Oreochromis niloticus: one gene and its partner. The protein of the gene in region 2 purifies or fractionates together with the protein of the main gene of each other region. This does not show direct contact. Links are inferred from orthologs where the notes say so. Each region holds a gene or a part of one and is shown on either strand. Other genes may lie near its edges. The genes, in order: pkmyt1 and ccnb2.

Region 1 (8,076 bases), on a different chromosome or scaffold from region 2:
ACTCTGTGGGGAGACTGCCTCGCCTGAGCTGCTGCCACCCCTCGCCACCGTTTGGAACCTCGATATTACAGGCAAGCTCCAGGATGGAAACCCCCAAACTAAATGAAAAGGATGTGATCATATTTAGACACTTATTTCAAATCAGATCAATCACATCTGTACATAATGAATCACATATGTACCTGAAAACATCTGCAGCAGGTCCATACTCCCCACGCAGCAGCTCGGGGGCCATGTATCTGGGATCACCCTCCTGAACATCGTCCTTTGCTTTCTCCCCTGCAGCTCCCATCTGTTTGAGCTCAAGCAGCAGCCCGAAGTCGCCCAACTTCAGACGACCAGAGGTGGTGATGAGGACGTTGGCGGGCTTGAGGTCCAGATGCACGAAGCCATGAGAGTGTAAGTGCTGCAGTGCTGAGAGGAGATCGCACAGGTAGGCCCAAGCAGCAGGCTCGTCTGTTTACAAGCAAAAAACACAAGTCAGCACGAACGAGGATGCAGAAGTTTTATAGAAAATCACAGCTGATACAAACTGTTTTTGGGCAGACCTGGGCCAGGAGGCTGGTTCTCAGCGTGGTGCAGCAAGCTGGTGCTGCACAGCTCTGTCTGGATGTAGAGTCGGCCGCACTCCTCCCAGGCAGCCACGAAGTTCAAAATATGAGGGTGAGGACACAGGCGCTCATGATTCCTGGCTTCCCTGACGCTCCGATTCCTCTCACTGTTACCCCTGAAGCGCTGAGCAGAGCGTTTGACTGCGTACTGACGACCATCTCTGTTGCTTTGCACCTGGAGAGAGAAAAGAAAATATCCAGAAATTACAACTTTTGAAAAAAATGAACAAACAAATACTTAAAATCCTGAATTTTTCAGTTTCCTTGATGTGAAGAAACAGCAACACCAAACACATGATGTTATTATATAACTCTCTTTATTTAAATCTGTGTTTTGCTCACCTTGTAAACTTCTCCAAATGATCCCCTCCCCAGCAGGCCCAAGTTGGTAAAGCACTGATTGAAGTAGGACTGCTGTTTGCTGGGATCATAGCCAGAATTTGGAGATTTACTGAGGGAATTAGACAGGGGTGTCCAGGGGGATTGATGCTGAGGGAACATTCTGCTCAGCGGGGGGCATCCTTTAGACGGTGGCAGCGGGGGCAAAGAATTTGAGAGACGAGCAGGGGAATAGTAGGATGAGTTTGACGTAGACGACGAGGATAAAGGCAGCCGGCGCTTTTTGAGAGAGAAGGACTGCTCCGCGTGGGAGAAGTGGGTTGGAAGAGGGAGAGCCACCCTGGGCACTGTAGTTTCCACCGCCACAGACATCGTGTAGACCTTTTCTGTTCTTTACTATAAAGACAGCAAGCTGCAACAGTCAAGAGGAAAAATTGTAAACGTAAGCAACACATAAAGCAACATATATATAGATGTGGTCAGAATTTTACATACACTCTCTTTTTATAGTTGAATGATTTTACAGCATACATCTTAAGTGACTGTAAAAAAGAAGAATTGGGTAAACGAGTTTGGATTTATTTTAGATTTTCTCTAAGACACACAAGAGTATATTCCGCCACTTATATTTGGTTAAATGTCCCTGAGCAAGTTGCACCTCGATTAGACCCCCTTGGTACCCATCAACAAGCATCTGGCATAATTGTGGTTGGATATCTGACCACTCGTCTTGACAGAATTGACGGAATTCATTTAAATCAGTTGGTTTCCTGGCACAGACTCTGCTTTTAAACCTTGTCAGTACATTTCCTACAGGGTTGATGTCAGAGCTTTGGGAAGGCCATTCAAATGTTCCGTGTTAGCCTGCAAAATCCATTCCAAAACCAGTTTGGATATGTACTTGGGATCATTGACAACACAAGAGAACACATAGGATTACAGAAAATCCCAAATAAATTCAAACTTGTGCACCCAATTCTTGTTTTTTTTTTTGTAATTAAAGATGTTTGCAGCACAATCCTTCCACCCTGGAAAAAAAACAGTTCAAATAAATCATTAAAAGCTCCAAATCAACATGGTATTTGTATGGGTATTTATAAATTTCTCACCACAACTGGAAGTTGATTTTTTTCACACTTAGTGCTCAATTATAATGGTTTCTTTTCATCTAGTTCTATCTCCGCAGAGCAAAAGCAAACGTATTATTTATAAAGACTAAACAAAAAACAAAAAAAAAACTGGGTCTTTGTAGGTTGATCCCCACCCATTTATCACTACACCTGGTACATCTGGTTTGACAGGTTGTAGAGCTTTTGTCTGATATCGGTATCAGCACAGTCCTCTCGATCCATTGATACTAAACCCATTTGTAGGAAAACAGGTATTCCTTGCCCAGCCCAGCCCCTGGCGTCAAGTGGAAAGTAAAGACCCGCTGATAAAACACAACTGATTAATTTTTCCAACATAACTTTTCGCTTTGTTAACGTAACATTACTCGAAGCACAAACACTGTCCATTAATTTATAGCAATGACAACTGTCATCTCAGCTAAACACTTGTGGCTAACGTTAACACCGGGCGGAACAAAACAAACATGACAACACAACCTGCTTAGCTGGCTAACCCGCGTGAAGATAACTTACGCTAACTGACATTTTATACTTAATTATTTAATTAAAGCGGAATTAAACAACGTTACCCCGCAGACCATAGTCCACTTTTGACGACAGGTTTCAAAACAGCGGTCTTCTATCCATCCAAACCCTTCAAGCCTCAACCTACCTCGCGCCAAATTCTGAAACTCTCACGTAGCGCTGCGTAGCTGCTCTCCGTGAATACGGAATGTACGAGTTGCGCATGTACATTGCGCAATATCCGAGAGCGGTGCAGTCTGGGCTTCTGCTGCACAACACAGAGCTGGCGTAACTGGCTAGCTAGCTGACCACTTGAAATGGTAACTTTAATATTATTGCCGATTAGTTTGGGAGAGTCGTACGTAGATCTCGACAATCTATTAACGTTCGGCGATGTGTTCAAACGTATTAACGCGATAATAACAGCGGATACTGTTGGCTATAGAAATGTTAATTTCACTTTTGCTCTGCTAGCTTAGCCTTTAAATCCATAACCAGGGGGTGTAGCTAGCGAGGGAACTTAGCTCGGCTAACCTTGGAAATGCTGTAACGCTAGCTAGCTAATTAACCCAGGCAATATAATGTGGTTAGCTGAGTGTGTACTGTATTTGTCAGACCTATTCCGTGTGTTAGCTAGGGCTGTTTTCCACCGAACTATCAAAACAGTTGACGTGTCGGCTAATATCGCGCTAGCCCAGAGCTACGTTTGCTTCACACTGCTCACTGTTATTTGCTAGCATATAAATAAATGAAGTGACACTTATCAGAATATCTATTACAGAATCCGTTATTAAAGATTATTGTAAAATAACCATTTAAATATCTTCGCGTTTACTGTACAGTCAGGTTAGGTGTTTAAGCAGTTTCCGGATAGACATGCAATATTAACGAGTTTCGTGGCCTAATGAGATGTTTTGTCTAATAAAACGGGGTTATTGTTGGTCATAATATATACTTACCCAAGAACGGCAATCTTTGTGGATAGACGTTCTTAATGTGGAGTAACGTTTCATAGAATCCAGTCCTCAACTTCTTGGTAAATGAGCAAATGTAGCTGGTTTTTACATTGTGTGCCCCCCTTTTTTTCCTTTCAGGACGTGTTCTTAATGATCCGGCGTCACAAGACCACAATCTTCACCGATGCCAAGGAGTCCACTACTGTCTATGAGCTGAAGCGTATTGTCGAGGGAATACTTAAAAGACCACCCGAGGACCAACGACTCTACAAAGTGAGCTTACAGCATTAGAAAGACTAAATGTGCACTTTAATTTTGCCAGAATGTAGCCAGTGTTAATGTTAACATTCACAGTAGTTGAATATTACCCCAACAAACTTCAACCTCATGGTAAATATTGGTAATTATTGACCTATTTCAAAATTACCATTGAATAGCAAATTATTAGAAAAATTTGTGGTTGTGGAAAATCTATTTAGATTCTTTTACCTATGACAGATTTCTGATCCCTTTCAGTCAGGTTTTTAAAAGCTGGCATCTGATGCGGCACATTGTTCTGTGCTCATATTGCTTGATCTCATATAGCTTTTCTAACCTGTGGAGTTCCACAAGGCTCAAACCTGGGTCTATTACATCCTTCCTTTAGCTGGGATCATTCAAATCTTTGAGGGGCATTACTTGTCATTTCCATGCTGAAATGTCTTTTATGCCTCACCAGCTGGATAGACTGTCCACCCTAGCTAATTGTTTATAATGATTTAATGTCTGGCTTTCCAGCAGTTACCTTGTTTTAAACTAAAGTGAGACTGAGACCAGGATTATAACTCCTCCTAAAATATATTCAAGAACCTGTCAAGCGATTGCCTCCTTTTGCTCATCTTTGAAGTCCAGTGTTTGTAATCGCTCTGTAATATTTTATGTCATTTTCCGGTTTCTTTCATTAAAGGAAGATTTCCAAATTGTAAGCTATGGTCTTCCATGCTGGACTGGAGAAAATTATTAATATATTTGTGTCTTCGTGCCTAGATTACTGGAACACCCTATTTACCCACTTAGATTAATCATCTCTTTCATACCTCCAAATGATACAAAATGCTGCATCCAGACTCCTAATGCAGACGTACTCTCTAGTTTTATGCTCTTTACGTCGGCTCCCAGTTGATTTTAGAATTCGTTTTAAAATTCTCATATTTACATACAGAGCACTAAATCAAGCTCAGACTACTAATCTCAGTTTCTCATTAAACACACTGCTTCTCACTGGCTCAAAATATATTACTTGTTCCTCATACAAGATTGAAGACTGGGGTATAGAGCCTTTCAGTCTGTGGCAGCCAAGACTATGGATCAGTCTGTCACTCCAGCTATATTTAGCTCGCTCTATAGACTTCTTGAAAAAGTCATTGAAATGTTTTTTAAGTATTTAGATTGTGTTGTAATATTTTTGGTTTTGTATTGCTATTGAACCATGTTTTAATTTTCTAATATATTTTATTGTGGTTGTTCCCAGTTTTTACTTATTTTCCTGTACAGTAATTTGTAACTCTGTAAATAAACATTGCTTACTTAAATATTTTCTATCAGAAACACGCTCTGCATATTAGTTGGACTATCTTCTTATATTCTGAGGTCATGATATTTTTGTATTACAGGATGATCAGCTGCTAGAGGATAGCAAAACTCTGGGTGACTCTGGATTCACCAACCAGACTGCCAGACCTCAAGCCCCAGCTACAGTCGGTCTGGCATTTCGTATTAATGGTATGTTGTGGTTATGCTGTTTGGTTTTAAAGATCAGAGGTACACTACACAACAAAAATGAGTACATTCCTATGAACCATTGCTTAAATATCTTAATATAAAAATTGTTCTTAGAGTTGAACTGTCATGTATTTACTCTTTATTTAAAATCAGAACAGTTTAGAGTTACAGTGTTAAAGTAGCGGTGTAGTGGATAAGACATGTGAATGACCTGAGGAGACACAAACCCTGCCTCAGGGGCTTGCAAGCTTGTATACTGCCAGTACGAGCCCAGATAAATGGGAGGGTAACGTCAGGGAGGGCATTTGGTATGAAATCTGTTCCAAATCAAACATGTGGCTCCCTCTGCTATGGCGGCCTCTTGGGAAATAAGGGAGCAGTTAAAAGTACCTCAGTTTACTTCATTAAAATACAGGCTTAACTATAGGAACTCACCTATAAGAAACACACCTTTTATTACCAAGATAATTTGAGATGTCCACATTTACATTTGGTGGGTGATACCATTGATCCTTATTTTTATATAAAGATGTTCTTCCTTTCTTTAGAGACAGTTTCTTTAACATGGAGGGCCTGTGTTGTTCTCCTTTTGTCTTAAAAATACCTCAGTAGTGTTTTCTTGGATTTGAGTCAGGCAACATACTTGGCCAGCTCATAGTTTCACTGTTTTCTCCTTAAGGAACTAATGTGTCATGTTGGCAGCCTGCTTTTTTCATGTCAGAAGTGCTGGTGTTTTATGTGAACCTAACAGATTTATTTCCATTTGAGCAAAGAAAGGACTCAAAATATTCGCAAGCAAGCTCTCTCTTTTTATTTCTTTACGGGTGAATCTTGAAGTTTTGTTCTGAAGCGCAAGTAAGGGTTTTTATTTATTCCCCAGGATGTGATGCTTGGAAGTTGACATTGTGCAATGTCCTTCAAACTGTCACAGAAACTTTGCTTTCCTCTGATAAGTCCTGTGCCAAATTAAAGGCATTTTTCCTTTACTTTTGCAGAGTTACATTATATAAATAGTGCACTGGCCCTAGCATCATTCTGGGAAGACAGACACTCAAGCACTGTTGCTTGTACCATCTCCTTATGGCCACATGTGTCTTCAGACTGATTTTTCTGCAGTTCCTTTGTTGATTCATTTCCTTAAAGAGGAATGAAGCAGACACAGCACAAGCATCCATAGTTGAGAAAATCTCATTCTACACAGTTTACTTTTTAACACTGTTACGGACCTACGTATAAAATTTAGTTTCATTCATCACTGATTTTTTAACTTCTGTGTTATCGGTTGCAGGTGGATTCACTTTTCTTGCAATGAGTTTCTACTTTGGGGTGTGGTTTGTGTTTTTTTTAATGTAGTCTTTCTAAAGCAGGGGTGGGGAAACTCCAGGCCTTGAGGGCCAGTGTCCTGCAGGTTTTAGATCTCACCCTGGGTCAACACACCTGAATCAAATGATCAGTTCATTACCAGGGCTCTGGAGAACTTCAAAACATGTTGAAATTTTAGATGTCTTAATTTTAGATGTATCCTTGATCCAACACAGCTGATTCAAATGGTTAAATTGCCTCCTCAACATGTCTTGAAGTTCTCCAGAGCCCTGGTAATGAACTGATTAGGGGTGGGTTTTTATAATCGATTTATCGATTAAAATCGATTCTGGCTTGGATAACGTGAAATCGATTCATTAAAATCCTGAATCGATCTTTTAATATAAATTTATTTTGCCCGAAATTCCAGAATCTCAGGTGAAACCTCAAATTTCAACAACCACCAAACAGCTAAGACAGTAAATGAGAGCAGGTACACGGATTCTGCACAAAGACGTAAACACACAGCGCGACCCGCGGATCAGAATCAGTGAGATGTCGCCTTTCTCACCTGACAGCACGGACACGGTCGGGGCTGAAAGCTGACAGCTCGCTGGTTCTGATCTGTCGGCGGGTCCGCGCTTTGTGTTTACGCCCTTTTTGCGCTGATTCTAAAGCTGTTAGTTTTATCTCTCTCCAAACAATATTGACCGAACCAGCAGCAAAAGAAGATCCAAACTACGCTTCACATAAACATCGTCATGAATTCACTCTTTTACTGTTTTGCTTCCACCACGATAAAATCACACTTCATGCACAGCTCTCTCTCTCGCTCTCGCTCTCTCTCTCTCTCTCTCTCTGTACTTCAAGAACAGTTTCCCGTCTAAAAATCTATTTTCTGCATTATTCGCTTGCTTGTTACGCACAAGTCTACCGTTGTTTACAGCGCTGTCGGCCGCTGTTTTTTTTTTCCTTTTACTTACTTCCGAAAAGAAAACCTAATTTCTGCTGTTCAATACTGAACAAATTTAAACTTTTTAAAATTATGTAAAATGCAAAACGCTTAGCCGTGTCTCTAATAAAACCGCTGTAACGTCAGAGGTAACGTCAGAGGTAACGTTCATATGTTTATTAATGGTTTTCTTTCATTTTTGATGTACTGCAGAATATTGTAACGTTCTCAAGAACCAGACGTTTTGATCTCAGTTTGTCCCTTTATTCAGTGACACAGGCAAACGGGCCGTTAACTCCGGGGAGAGTGCTCTCGTACAACACCTCACTTCAGCCCCGCACAGTCACTCCACACACAGGACCCCCCTCCCCTTCCTGCACACATTAACTCCCTTTTTCCTGCAGCACAACCAAACATGTATCTTAAAGAAACAACAGCGTGCAGAGATAACCAACCTGTCACTGTAACATAACATTTAACAATCGTTACAATATTTTTATAAAATCCCAGGCCAGGAAAAC
Region 2 (8,403 bases):
ACAGAAGCCGTCATAAATTGCCACCTTGCTGCAGTGGAGGGGTTTGTGTGCCAGTGATGTCAGGATCTGCATTGTTGGGGATACCTTGGGCTGTACCATCCAAATTGTCTCTTTGAAAACAGTAATGTAGTAATCCTTACCCACAGTAAGGATACCTAGCACCACTTTAAAAATCATGCACTCCAGTTAGGCTCTAGTTCCAGTTTCATGTCATTTCTACAGAAATGTTTGTTAAGGACACCGCCCCCCACCATCTTAGTTGAATATTCCAAAGCAAATATTATTCCACAAGACTTTTGGTTCACTTTCAGAACCAGCTGTTCTGGTATATCCCCCAGGTTCCACAACAAAGCCATTTGTGAGCCCTTTTAGTGAGATGCATGCCAAGAACACAGTCAGGCTTTTTCAGTTGCCTCATCCATATTTTCCTTCTGTCTATGGTGACGTAAAACCAAAAGCAGGTTAGTGTGTTTTTTGCCAAAAATCATAAGACAAAAGTTAAAGTCTAAGAACAATCTAAAACTTTATTTAGATCTCCAACAAGGTACATTACATGCAAACAGATGCAAAACTGTTTGCTGCCCAACAGGCACTTTTAATCATTCAATAGTTAAAATCTTCCACTGGTGGGAAAAAATAAAAAGTTAGAGATGAGAAACTTTGGGACATTTTACTTCACAGAAGCAGTTTGTAGATCCCTCTGGAAGCTGCGCAACAACTTCTCAGCTTTTGCTTAGATAGGCAGTTCAAGGTGCATTAGAAAGAAAAAAAAAAAAAAAAAAAAAGCCAACACAAATGGCTCAAATTCTCAGATCATAAAAAGATGAGTTGAGTCAGAGTACAGCTGCCGCCATGTTCTTGACAATTGAGGATTTGAGCTGAGGAATGAGGCTTATCTTGAGAAGCTTGCTGCTCGAGTACTTTTTCTTCACAGCCTACAGAGACAAAAGCTCAAGGTCAGTTTCTACACACATGATACGAGCTGGTGCGTTTATCCTCAGCCAACTCACCTGGAATTTCGTTTTCCCTTCATTTACCAGCACAACATTTTTGGCAATGTGCTGCATGACGGGCTTCAGGTGGGCCTCGTCATAGGTAGAGTAGTGCTGCTGTGTGGGAGACTGATGGGAGGTCAATTAACAGCCAGCTTGAAGGAGCAAGAGGTTCATAAAAAGTGACTTTAAACTTACCCAGGGTAGGCCGTCCAGCAGCAGCTGGGAGAGGCAGAGGGAAGCAGCAGCGACCTCAGAGGGCCTGTAGTGCACCATATTGTAGTCGAGCAGGGTCAGCTCCATCAGATACTTGGCCAGCGTGTGCCTCTCCACATCAGACTGATAAACATGCACGTCAAGGTTTAAGATTTTTACAGTTTCTCTAACACCTTAGCTGCCATTTTTCTTTAATACAGAGTGATACACATGCAAGTTATCAATTGAAAGTCTTCCAATTCCTACACTGAAGTCTTCTCTGCAATAAATTCATAATGAAACTCACATTTGCCACCTTAGATGCCCGTCTGAGAAAGTGCAGTGGGAGAGGACGCCCCAGCTGAAATTTCAGGCCCTTCAGAACCTGCTGCTCCATCTCGAGAATCTGAGATTTTGTAAAGGCGTTGTCTGTTATGTAGGCAAAGTCACCAACCTCTGGGGCGTACATCTCCTCATACTTGCAGGCCACCAGCATGGAAGTCACACCAACAAGTTGCAGCTTCCTGCGAGACACTGGCTGGACCTGCAGCATACCCAGAAGAAGCCTTTTAGATGCAGTTCACAAATCCATAGACAAGGCTGTTCAGAAACATCACCTGAAGAAAGCGATCCAGAATGGCAACCGTGAGGTACAGAGTCTCCTGCAGCAGCTGGAACCTGGAGTGAACCTGGACCAGCCAGTCGATGAGAAGCGCTCGCATGCCATCAGTGATTTCGTAGCCCTGCATGTAGTTTGCTCGTACCGTCTGCTGCAACTGAGAAGGCAAACTGATGTAAGTCAGAGATGACAGCAGCTGTGTCGGAAGGTAGGGGAAGAAATTACCTCCAGGTTGTGCAGATACTTGTAGATATCCTTCACATATTCTGAACAGAGCTGTGGCTGGTTGGCATCCTCCTCATCCACGTCCTGCACCGCAAGCAGAGCCTCAGAGAAAGCCAGGCACAACTCAGTCTCCTCCTTCATGGACACATCAGTTGCAGATTGCTCCAAAACCAGAGGAAGAGGGTCTGTAGCTGCTTGGACCGGTCGAACCGCTACCTCAGCAGGTTTAGCCGTTTGGACACAAGATGGCTTGGCTGACACTTTTGTCTGTCCTGTTCTCTACGGAAACAAGTTTGGAATCATTACACTTGGAAAATGCAACACGATGCACTAATAAGACTTTCAGATTGGACAGGAATAAAGTTCTGTTCAACTATTTCGACCTTCCCTTTTGCAAACCACTAAGGGGATTTTAGTCTGCTGCAAGGTTCTTGCTTTGGCTCAGGTAAAAGAATTGACGAGGTCTGTGTTCATTGCAAAAGACGTTGATAGATGATGAAGTCTGGGTTGAAAGTCAGCCAGTAAAATGACTTTTAGTCTAGCAGACATACCAATAAATCAGACCTGTATTATATGTCTGAAGGTTCTCAGTCATCCAGGTCATTGTAGTCTAAGGAGCTTGGAAAGAAAAGCGTCTGGACTTCTTTGAGTTGCTTGAAGACGTTTCACCTCTCATCCGAGAAGCTTCTTCAGTTCTAAGGGTCAACGGTGGAGAGTCCCAGATTTAAAAGCTCACCCGAAACCCTGGCTGATTGGGACCCACACCCACTTTCACACCTTAGCTCATGTGATTAGGTAGAGGATCATCAGGGGGTCCTTTGTCCCTCTTTGGGGGGGGAAACTCCCACTGGGTTTAAATCTGAGACTCTCCACCATTGACCCTTAGAACTGAAGAAGCTTCTCGGATGAGAGGTGAAACATCTCCAAGCAACTCAAAGAAGTCCAGACGCTTTTCTTTCCAAGCTCCTTAGACCTGTATTATAAGACTTTCTTGCCTATTTACCAAGTGACTGCAAAACAGACAAACTGAGACAGGAACCAAACCAAGATGCTCTTACCTTTGTGACAGTCACTGCTGCGTTAAAGTTGGTAATCTCTCCGAGAGCTGCTCTCCTCGGACCCGCTGCTGCGGCGGCTTTCCCCGGTTTCTGCCGGTTCTCTGCGGTTAGGAGCTGCTAACGAGACAAACATGCACAATAAAAGGCTTGACCGGTTTTTCTACAGCGTGTTTAACATTACTGAAACGATAGCGTTATTATTGAAGCGCTAGCTTTAACTAGCCAACGCAGCCAACAGCAGCGCTTCTCTAGCAAACAAAAGTCTTTCTACTCACCGCATCACGAACTTCCACAGACATGTTTACCGTGGGCAGCAACGAGGATACAGAGTGACCAAGAACAAGCAAAAGAGCATATATTTCAGACTAACAGAGGGCAATTAACCAACAAAATCCGTAAACAGTTATTTCCGTAGCTAAACAACACAGCGACGAGCAGCTTTCAAATAGTTGTCCTCTAAATCTGATTGGATGTAGCGATTTCGTTCGGACGCTTGTGATTGGCTAATGATTTCAGGTGGGAATTAAAGCCATATGAGCTTTTAAAGTGCTCGGTTACCTTATTTCACAGTCATTGCTTCATTTACAGCAGTGGTTCCCAAACTTTTTTTGCCAGGCCCCCCTTTTTTACAAGAAAAATGTTCGCGCCCCCCCACCACCTAACCACATCCTCCAAACACACACACCCATATTTTGTTCCATTGCGGTTTATTTCACACCTCAAACATTTAGTAAACAACTAAGCAAATACAAGTAAACGGCAATAAATTACAGGTAGTAATAAAATATACTACTAACTCTTTTACGCTGCGTCCACACCTACACGGGTATTTTTGAAAACGCAGCTGTTTCTATGCGTTTGGGCCTTTCGTCAACACGTAAACGGCGATGCGATTCACCGAAAACGGAGATTATTTAAAACTCCTTTTTTGCGTTTACGTGTGGACGAGGAATACAGAGTTCGTCACGCAACCTCAAAGGTATGTGCCTCTTTTCACGTCACGCTGTGCGCCACGTTATTGTTTACATGAGATGAATTGCAGAATGGCAGATAGAGACAAAATACTGTTACTGTTAATCTGACTATCTTCAGGTTTTACACGCTTACATATACACACGTAGTTACTGTCCCTGCATTTAGAAAGGCAGAGGCGTCACGGTGTAATTATTTTACGTGTAGTTGTTTTTTTTCCTGTGTAATAATATTCAACATTGCTGTCAATACATTTTTCAAAAAATGCCTCTCTGTGCAAAATGGGTTCAAAAACATAAACAGCTGTGGGATACCGTTTGTCCGTGATTTGAACGGGGAGAACAAATTACGGCAGGATCAGCCTGATATTATTTGTATCCCACTGTAACTTTACTGTATAAAGAGCTAACATGTCCAAAATGTCAGGAGTAGTTAGTGATTACAAGAAGTGTTTGTGAACTAAAAATCAAGAATGTGGGATCCTGTTTGTCCGTGATTTGGAGAGCCCAGCGCTGCTCCCGACGCAGGGAAACTAATTTTACAGGGGAGACCTACCTCGGCACTTGTGCAGGTGAAGCCAAAGGGAAGATATGCTTCACCATATTTTCTAGTCTTTGGCTTGGAAGGAAGTTGGTTTGGAAACATATTTGGCGATGCTTCATCTCCTGCTCTGCGTTTGTGTGGGAGCCCCGTCAAAAACCTGTCCACAGTGTCCAAGCGCTCTTTTTTTTTTTTCTCCTTTTCATACCGCCCCCCCCTCCCCCTAGGGGGCGGGCCCCACACTTTGGGAACCTCTGCACTATGAAATGCTTTTTTCTCTCTCTTAAACCTTTAAAAGTTCTGATTATTTCTGAATTGGCAAGAAAATATGAAAGACTTTCAAGATGCCTTCAAACTCTTGGACTCCACTGTGTGTTTTCCATGTGGGCCAGGACACATGTTTGACACAGAAATACGTGTATTTTTATTAAATAATAAAGCTGCAACCTAAATTTGTGAACTTCAAATTAGAACCACATTCCTTTAAATCAGCAAAATAAGTGAACTGATGCAGAAGTATTGAATCACCTGCATGTTTACTTTGGCTGGTATTCTTCTGATCTGTCAACCACTGGTATAATGAAATTATCTCCCTATTAGGAGCTTTAACATGAATCCACAGTCACAGCATGCCACAAAGCTGACCAAGTAATCATACAGCACTGCACTCGCTTACTCTTTATTTGAGCATCCCTTAAATCAATTCAAGTCATCTTATAACCACAGATATGAAGAACACATAGTACAAAAATGCAAACCCCTGAAGGACGGCTGAATAACAAAATGCACCTTGCCATGTGGTGTTACTCAAGCCACAAGAACCCATGCAACAGGTTTCAGGGGTTAAATTGTCCCAGTGTGATTTTTTTAAAAGAAAGAAAACAAAAACCAGCTGCTCGAGAGTTTGGTGGCATTTTCAATTCCACTCCTTGATCTCACAGCGTTTCATTAGGCCACAGCTGAAAATGGCCTATGAAAAATGTCCTTTTGTTGAGATGGCACAAAATAAAGAACCCAGATGTTTTAGGGAACTGCTGAATCGATGGGGTTCGAGGTGTGAGCGAAAGGACCAACAGATTCTCTTTGTTCAGTTAGTTATATAAAAAAAACAACCCAAAAACACATCACTTTCGTTCCCATGTGCTCCAAGCACAGCAGGGTATAATGTACCACTAATTTTCTGCAACCCTGAGGCAATTGCTTTTTACTTAAGGGGAGGATGCATCTAGTTTTCCTCTATATCCTTTGTTTCTGCACACATTTAGCTGATACCATTGCCCATGTGGTTTGAGTCTACAGAGGAGGTTCAGGCACTCCTAAATGAGGGTACATTCAATTTAAAAAAAAAAAAAATGTCCACCATACTTTATTAGCTTTTCAAGGTAACTCTTGTATAAGGTGACACAGGTATTGAGAAAGACACAAACCATGTAATGGTTTCTCTTAAAGGTCACCTCTACAACTGAAACAATGAATTCAATGGTTGTTTCTCCTGTTAGGGGTGAAAATTTGATCCAGTTATTAGAAAAGCAAAAGTCCCTTTCACAAATGCACATTTGCATAAAAATGAACTATATTTGAATGACACAACATAGTCACTTTAACAGACCCGTGAGGTAAAAGGTCAAACACACAGTTTGAGTGGTATATCACACACTGCTGATCAGCAGGATAAAGTGTATGAAACAACAAGCTGAACTCAGTTCTACTCAGTATTCATTTGATCTCTTTATAAGCTTGTTGGTGCAGCGCTCCACAACAGTCCTAGTTTCTTAAGTGGCCTCTGAAATGTAAATGTTTTAAATCCTTCCTCCTGGGGTATCCTAATGAAGCTGTCCCGAAGATTCATGGTGGAAAAAACATTTAATGCTGGTGTTCCCCATTAATCTGCTAGCCACCCATTTAGCATCTTTAATTCATGAAAGCACTAACTGTTAAAAAAATGCTTTAATACTTGAACAAATGGCAGTATCACAGAGTTTCAAGAAAAACATATAGAGACACTGCTAACAGAGGCTGCACCGCCACATCATCAAAATCCCACTTTATTACCTGTTGCTTTGATTTTACTGTTGTAAAAGACGGCCAAACTCCAACAGAGCAAGAACAAAGTCATGTCCGGTGGTGGTTTTCTCTCATGTTGCAAGGTTATGGAATGTAAATGTAACTGTTACGTAAATGGACAAAACACAATCCACACACACACGTCGGTTTCCTGAACCAAAATAGGATGAAGAGGAGACACAGAATGAACCTCTGGCCTTATTATTTATTCTATAGTTCTTTCCTGCGGTGTGGATGGATTGGCTGAATGGCAGAATCAGTTGCCATTTTGGTTCATCTGTAGATACTCGTTGTGTAACTTTTCTTGGGTCTCATAGAGCTTGCGGAGCTTCTTGGCTTGACCTTTGCTGAGCTCCTTCCCTTCAACGTCATGAGTGGGGAAACCCTGTTAACAGCAACAAAACCAAACACACCTTTAAAGCTTTTCAGGTTGACACAGTTTGTGAGCTGTCGTTTCCATGGTAACTTTACAGAAAAAAATAAAAACATAAACAGCCTTTAAATTACCTTTCTGAATTTTCCTCAAGTTCTGACATACACACAGCTACACTGAATACGGAGTCATTTCAAATAAGGACATTCATGTCTGTACAAGCAAATCCCTGTGAGCTGGGTCTTTCCTACTCTTGGATCCGTATCACATCATTGAGCGCAGGTACACCTGATCTCAGGCACACGTCTTGCTGTGAGCACCGAAGCCCCACTTTTATTGCTGTAACTTCATGATTTTGTGGCGTGGGGTCGTTGGCCCCATGACCACCTCACAACCTGGAGAACCAGGTGCTAATCTTTGTCTTTGCTTTCTTAGACATCCCAGGTTTTAAGCCCTCAGCAACAGATCTCTGAGGTCATCGGGGCCCACGAGCCTCACCACCAGCATGGGACCAGCTTATGAAAAATTAAGCATGGGAGGTAAAATAAGGATTTACCGTTTCATCAAATTTTGAGTATTTGTCTGTTTCACTGCGAAACATTTCACTTGCAGGGATCTTCATCTTGGCCAGTTTCGCCATCTGAAACAGTAACAGAAACATGAAGATTTTCCTGATGACACAAACGTAGAAGGTCACTGTCTATATAAAACCATCAGACTGACCTCTTGCTCCTGTTTCTTCTTAGCAGCCTCTAGCTTCTTCATTTTCTTCTCTTCTTCCATCTGTGAAAGATGGAATTTTATTGTGTGAAATGTTTTAAAACACATGTTGTTTGCATATTTGAAAAGATAAAAACTTTTAACATAAAAACAAAGGCTTGTAGTGGACTTGTGTTATAATTGTAAATCAACTAAGAATTTCTTTTGTCTGAACAAACTAGCTGTTAGATGTTGAAATCCCTGTCCTTATATCCATGGTAACTCAGCGTCCTCTAGTTTTGGGAGGGGGCACTTATTTTTTCTGGCTTATCATTTACTTTAAATTGGGATAAATTATCTCCTGTCAATCTTAAGCATACACTTCCCAGTTAGAAGTACCTAAACTGCTCCAGACATGCACTCGATGTGTGATGATGTCTTCTCTTACCCTCTTCTTCTCCTCTCTCTCCTTCAGTAATGTCTCCTTGTCCACTAGTTTCACCACAGTGGGCAGGCCTGCAACACAACCACTTTATTTTTCAACACTCTTCACTTTGTAATAACGAAACAAGGTCAGAACTTCTTTACATTCTTACTAAGAGAGCAAAGGCTCGGATTTATTGAGCAGGGCATCTTAATGCGCTGCAGTTATAAAGATGTGATGAA

Evidence for each region.
Region 1: the proteins of ccnb2 (region 2) and pkmyt1 purify together in Homo sapiens (affinity purification with mass spectrometry; 4 studies listed by BioGRID and IntAct, with this or other methods). This does not show direct contact. The link is inferred for Oreochromis niloticus from reciprocal best matches to the Homo sapiens genes CCNB2 and PKMYT1.

The regions. Positions count from the first base shown.
Region 1 is NC_031973.2:16,346,240-16,354,315, forward strand, and holds the start of pkmyt1 (membrane-associated tyrosine- and threonine-specific cdc2-inhibitory kinase), read right to left. Parts: upstream 3,654-8,076; 5' UTR 3,544-3,653; intron 2,905-3,543; coding exon of another isoform or gene 2,902-2,904; exon of another isoform or gene 2,650-2,901; intron 2,355-2,649; exon of another isoform or gene 2,060-2,354; intron 1,493-2,059; exon of another isoform or gene 1,446-1,492; intron 1,363-1,445; 5' UTR 1,323-1,362; coding exon 954-1,322; intron 787-953; coding exon 549-786; intron 457-548; coding exon 183-456; intron 99-182; coding exon 1-98. Other genes in the region: elongin-B, read left to right, coding at 2,902-2,904, 3,679-3,813, 5,193-5,301. UniProt on the Homo sapiens protein: Acts as a negative regulator of entry into mitosis (G2 to M transition) by phosphorylation of the CDK1 kinase specifically when CDK1 is complexed to cyclins. Mediates phosphorylation of CDK1 predominantly on 'Thr-14'. Also involved in Golgi fragmentation.
Region 2 is NC_031965.2:3,387,995-3,396,397, forward strand, and holds ccnb2 (G2/mitotic-specific cyclin-B2), read right to left. Parts: upstream 3,557-8,403; 5' UTR 3,389-3,556; coding exon 3,365-3,388; intron 3,207-3,364; coding exon 3,090-3,206; intron 2,311-3,089; coding exon 2,032-2,310; intron 1,964-2,031; coding exon 1,805-1,963; intron 1,732-1,804; coding exon 1,495-1,731; intron 1,332-1,494; coding exon 1,191-1,331; intron 1,122-1,190; coding exon 1,011-1,121; intron 936-1,010; coding exon 834-935; 3' UTR 499-833; downstream 1-498. Other genes in the region: cars1 (cysteine--tRNA ligase, cytoplasmic), read right to left, coding at 6,922-7,050, 7,595-7,678, 7,762-7,821, 8,186-8,253. UniProt on the Homo sapiens protein: Essential for the control of the cell cycle at the G2/M (mitosis) transition.